2 linked regions of the Neurospora crassa OR74A genome follow. The protein of the gene in region 1 binds, or shares a complex with, the protein of each later gene. Links are inferred from orthologs where the notes say so. Each region holds a gene or a part of one and is shown in the gene's direction. Other genes may lie near its edges.

The links.
Region 2: the proteins of stk-4 (region 1) and NCU06593 are in contact, whole or in part, in an NMR structure (PDB 2RQW), measured with the Saccharomyces cerevisiae proteins. The link is inferred for Neurospora crassa OR74A from reciprocal best matches to the Saccharomyces cerevisiae genes STE20 and BEM1. Residues at the interface, in NP_011856.1 of Saccharomyces cerevisiae: Asn467, Gly468, Lys469, Phe470, Ile471, Pro472, Ser473, Arg474, Pro475, Ala476, Pro477, Lys478, Pro479, Pro480, Ser481; in NP_009759.3 of Saccharomyces cerevisiae: Tyr164, Phe166, Glu169, Lys170, Ala171, Asp172, His188, Glu191, Trp192, Ile194, Pro204, Leu206, Pro208, Gly210, Phe211, Val239, Gln240, Lys243, Ser244.

The regions. Positions count from the first base shown.
Region 1 is NC_026506.1:2,075,995-2,078,959, reverse strand, and holds the end of stk-4 (serine/threonine-protein kinase ste-20, variant 1), read left to right. Parts: coding exon 1-628; intron 629-773; coding exon 774-1,108; intron 1,109-1,236; coding exon 1,237-1,338; 3' UTR 1,339-2,276; downstream 2,277-2,965. UniProt on the Saccharomyces cerevisiae protein: MAP4K component of the MAPK pathway required for the mating pheromone response, haploid invasive growth and diploid pseudohyphal development. Links the pheromone response G-protein beta gamma subunits to downstream signaling components.
Region 2 is NC_026504.1:1,740,182-1,742,678, reverse strand, and holds the end of NCU06593 (MAP kinase activator), read left to right. Parts: coding exon 1-842; 3' UTR 843-1,847; downstream 1,848-2,497.

The DNA.
Region 1 (2,965 bases):
AGCCGAGCTGCAAGCAAGAGACAACAACCAACTCCGCCCACCTCACAACACCAACACCCCCGGCAGCCAGACATCAATGGGGCTCCTCGTATGCCACAGACTCAGGGGGCGGCTCCCCAAGCTAGCGCGAGACCCCGTCACAGACCGCGGCAAAGTAACGCGATTGATGTCGTGGCTTCCCTAAAGAGGATATGCTCCGACGGGGATCCGAGAGAGATTTATCGTGGGTTTACCAAAATTGGTCAGGGTGCCTCTGGTGGTGTGTATACTGGCCATGAAAGGGGAAGCAACAGGCTGGTGGCTATCAAGCAGATGAACCTTGAGCAACAGCCAAAGAAGGATCTCATCATCAATGAGATTTTGGTTATGAAGGAGAGCTCACACCCCAATATTGTCAACTTTATTGACAGTTACCTATGTGCTGGGGAATTGTGGGTAGTCATGGAATACATGGAGGGTGGTAGCTTGACGGATGTTGTCACGTTCAACATCATGACTGAAGGGCAGATCGCGTCAGTTTGCCGAGAAACCCTCAGAGGCCTTCAACATCTGCACTCCAAGGGCGTCATACACAGAGATATCAAGTCAGACAACATTCTCCTTAGCATGGAAGGCAATATCAAGCTCAGTAAGTTTTCCCCTTCGGGCTTTTTGGGCAGTCTCCGAAAGTTCAAACTTTTTGAGCATTTTCCTGTTCATTTTCCCACCATCTTCAACCCCCAACGCCCATCTGGTGCTGTGACCCGATTCTAACCCTTGTTCTTCCACCATAGCCGATTTTGGATTCTGTGCTACAATCAACGAAGCTCAAAGTAAGCGTACGACAATGGTCGGCACGCCTTATTGGATGGCGCCCGAGGTTGTGACACGTAAAGAGTACGGCCGCAAGGTGGATATCTGGTCATTGGGCATCATGGCCATCGAGATGATTGAAGGAGAGCCTCCCTACCTGACCGAGTCGCCTCTTCGAGCGCTTTGGCTCATTGCGACCAACGGCACGCCGCACATCAAGGATGAGCAGTCACTCTCACCAGTTTTCCGCGACTTCCTCTACTTTGCCCTCAAGGTGGACCCGGAGAAGAGGGCCAGCGCTCATGATCTACTAAGGGTAAGTCTTGGTTCGCCCCTGCATTTTGAATGGCCCTCTGTTTGCGGCTCTTCACCTGCTACGTTACGCTACCAGGCTCAAGGAGATGGTGATATTTCCGCCGGGCACCGAGCTAACTCTTGTAACAGCACGACTTCATGAACAAGTGCGTCGACCTATCAACACTGGCGCCCCTTGTCCGAGCAGCAAGGGAAGCCCGAGCCCAAGAGAAGGCCCGTAAAGGGCAGTAGTGTATGATTCTTCTAGGCGTTCTGTGCTGTACACGCACGCACGAGAGATATTCCCCTGGAGCGTTATTGTTTCACATCCCCCTTTTTGTTCTTTAATTTTTTTTTCTTTTTTTTTTTTCCCCTTCTGGGTTCTAAAGCAATTCTCTTCTGCAGCAGAGATTTGTGGATTAGGTGTGGTTATCAACCCTATCTCTACCTTTACGTGGCCGGTCAGGTCTTGATTTTGCATCTGCTGGAATTTCTTTCTTGGTTCGAGATATCTGTGGGTACCCGACACATAACATATGTACTTCGATCCTTAAACGCCAATTCTTCTAGGACTTTTTCTTTATCTTTGTTCACGAACGAAGGATATTCTGCCCCAACGAGCGAAGCGAACCCGGAGCACACACGTATACACACCTCTACACAGGAGGAAAAAACGAACCGTTGCACAGCGAGCGGAATACGAAATGCAAAGTATGCAAGCAAACAAGCCGAAATCACAGCGAAGTAGGCATAGCACAGCGAGCCGGAGCGCGACGGATGTTTTATGTTTGCTGGTTTCCTCGATACGGCAACGGCCTTTCGAGATACACAGGTAACTGAAGTCTTTGCCTTCTTTACGGGTTATTACGGAATTCGGGTTGGGAAACTGGGAATTGTCAAGAGGCGGAACATCTTTTTTTCTTGGTTACGGATGATATTTATGGCAACTATACAACATGGACGAAGAATTTGAACTGCTGCACCAAGATGGATGGGGCCAGATTTTCACTTCAAGGGCTCACAGTGTGTTTATCAGGTAGGGACGTTGTTGGCGTTTCTCACACTGGCAGGGAAAGGACGTCAGGGACAAAGTGCACGCTTGGAACGGGATGAGGGAGACATGAACGATGGCTGGGCTGGAGAATACAGAAGTATTACTTGAAGTGGACGTTGAGAGACTTGACCCTTATACCCGTTTCCTCTCGATGCGACATTCATGATGTGTCAAATTAAAGAGCGTTGCTTTTGACTTCTGAGGAACCCCGACAAAGGTATGCCACCAACAGAAGCTCCTCGATGCAAGCTGCATCCCACAAGCCGGAAGAAAAAAAAAAAAAAAAAGGAAGAAGACGAAGAATTCCAGTCAAGTCAACACCGGGACTCCAGATCTCGGTCAAAGTCATCATCACCAACCACAACACAGAACTTCTCAAGTCTGCTCGCTCTCACACCCTAGTAACCTCCCTTCTTTCCCTCCGTTCAATCCTTCTCCAAAGTTGAAAACCCCTCCAGGCCGCAGTACACCGCTTCCTTTTCGATTTTCCAATGCCATCCCGTTACGATATCACAGAATACCACACAAAGCATTCAATGGCAGTGAACCCATTAGCCAGTATCATCAGTATACAGCACATACACCCAATCCCCATCCAACTCTCCACAATCACCATTATTAACTCGAGATCAGTAATAGTCTTTTGGGTAACTATGTACATGCCCCGTGTGGTGTACGCATAGTCAAACTCAGTCCCCCCGGCCCCCTGGTCTTTTAGTTTCCTCCTCCTTCCGCTCTCCGTTCGACTTCTTGAGGTCAGGGTCCATGGACCACATCGTCTGGCAAGATCCACTTTGTGACGTCATGATCGATGGAGAGCATGAA
Region 2 (2,497 bases), on another chromosome or scaffold:
GGCCAACCTCGACACTATACGCACCCATCGCAGCCAGGGTTCCGAGGTACTGCTTTGCCGAGGACAAGTACTGGTTTGTTATTGAAGCCGAACTGGAGGATGGTCGATGCTTCGAACTTTCGCGATACTACGAGGATTTCTACGACTTCCAAATCGCGCTCCTAACCGAGTTCCCTCTTGAAGCTGGAACTACAGGCGGCAAGCAGCGGACGCTACCCTACATGCCCGGTCCTGTTAATTACGTGACTGATGCGATTACGGAAGGCCGCCGCCACAACCTTGACTCTTACGTTAAAAGTCTACTGGAACAACCGCCACACATCTCCCGCTGTAACCTGGTCAAGCAGTTCTTTTCTCCTAGAGAGGGTGATTACGAAATCGACCCTAGCGTTGCTCGCGAGGAATACCGATTCTCTGGAGGCTCTGGTCCGTCCTCTGACTCACCAGCCGACGGCCTCTCACTACAGAGCACAGCCGGCAACAGATATTCTGCCGGTCTCGGTGTTCCTCAGAGGCAGCTGAGCATTGGCAACGGCCAACAGATTCCGGGACCTGGGCAGGCTTCACAGACCTCATTGTCACCTGCTATTATGCAGGGTGGTTCACAGATGAAAGTGAAACTGCACTTCAACGGCGACATCATCGCCATCCGCGTACCCACTGATATTCCATTCCAAGCTCTCCATGACAAGATTCTGGATCGTCTCAAGATTCCTCAGGGCGAGGACGTTCAGCTAAGTTACAAGGACGACGCGAGTGGCGAGAAGCCTCCTCTGATGAACGACGAAGATCTGGATATTGCACTGCAACGGAACGAAAAGCTGCTCGTTTACGTGGAATAATGGACTGACGGACTTTGAAACCCCAACCCATACACGTTTGTTGGCCATATTCCGATACACAGCGCATTCGGATACCATGGTCACATGCGCCATGTTTCACGAACATTTGATTCGAAGGCAGCAACTGGGTAAACTAAGCGCTCGGCCTTCAAAAGTCACGCCAGATGGCTACATACACAAGCAAGGCGAACAACGTGGAGGGAATTGCTCATTTGCGCACTCAGTTACATACCATCTTTTCTCGTTGACGGCTGCCAACAAACTGCTCTTTATCCAACACACAATGCGATATCTATACCCCACGCTATATACCCAAACGCATACGTAAATCATATAGGACTTCGCGGTTCAGTCGTTGTAATACATTTCGAATTGATCGGCTCGTCTCTCTCCACTCACTAAAATTTCTGGGACGCAGATGGTCATGGGGCATTTTGGATGCGGCAGGGACTTTGGGATACGGTGATATTTTTTTGGAACAGCTCAGGAGTCAGGCCAAAGGAGTCTGTGACCATGGTGAAAAAAAGGAAGGAAGTAGAGTCAGGGGAGGATCTGCGCGCTTGCTGGAAGGCTGCGGTGGGGCCAAGTTGGGAGATGGATTCTTGGTTAGGCGTGGGGGAGGGTGGAAGGATTAAATTTGATACCAAACTACGTTGCTACTCGAGGTCGAAGATGGGTGGTGGATTACCATAAGAAGAGGTGGTGGAGGTGGTAATGGTGGTGCTGAGGGTGATGACAAGGGACAAGAAGAAGAAGAAGGGGCCCTTGTGAATGGATGATGAATGAAATGAATTTACACCCACAGGCTTTTTGTGTTTCAGGATGTTGACCGAGATGGCGGGGGACACGGGGTATCGTTTCTGCAGTGTAGGTGAGATTTGAAGATATCCATGTGCAGTCAAGGTGTTTTTGGTAATAAAAAAATTGGGAGCGAAAGATGACCGGAGAAAAGAGAGTAGTGGTGGTCTACTCGCAGCCAGTAAGTAGCATAAATCTACATTTGAAGATATCGCGACTTCCGATAATTGCATGTGACATCTGCTATACAATGTCATTGGAAGTTGAATAAATGCACAATTACGGCAAATGCCAAGCCCATCGAAAACATACATCGCATTCTTGTTCTGGTAAAGGAAGCAATGGTAACAATGACACTTCCACAACAATCAGTCAAAGTTCGTTACATATTTACAAAGTTGGAAGTAACGAAGTCGATGCCGTTTCACACTACCAATGTAATGCTTGTAAGTCAACCAGCCCGAAGGCCAGATCTAGGAAATTCTTACTGAAAAGCATACAGAAATGCAATATACGTCCCCAACTAATAACTCCGAGGCTCACATATCACCTATGAAAAGTGAGTTGGGCGTACAACGAACCGTATACCCCTGCTCCCCTGCTAAAAAAAAAAATTGACACCTGAAACGCCAGTTGCAATCCACCAGAGTCCCAAAGTAGACATAGCGATACCTGGAATGCCAGGATAAATATGGCTGACTGACTGTTGCCCAACAAGACAGACATATTTAGTAATGAAGCAAACAAAACGAGAAAAAAATGAAATGAAAAGAAGGGAAGAAAGAAAAACAAGAAAGGAAAAACCGGGGAACGGGGAAGAAACTCTAAACTAAACCCATTACAAGAAAAAAAAATGG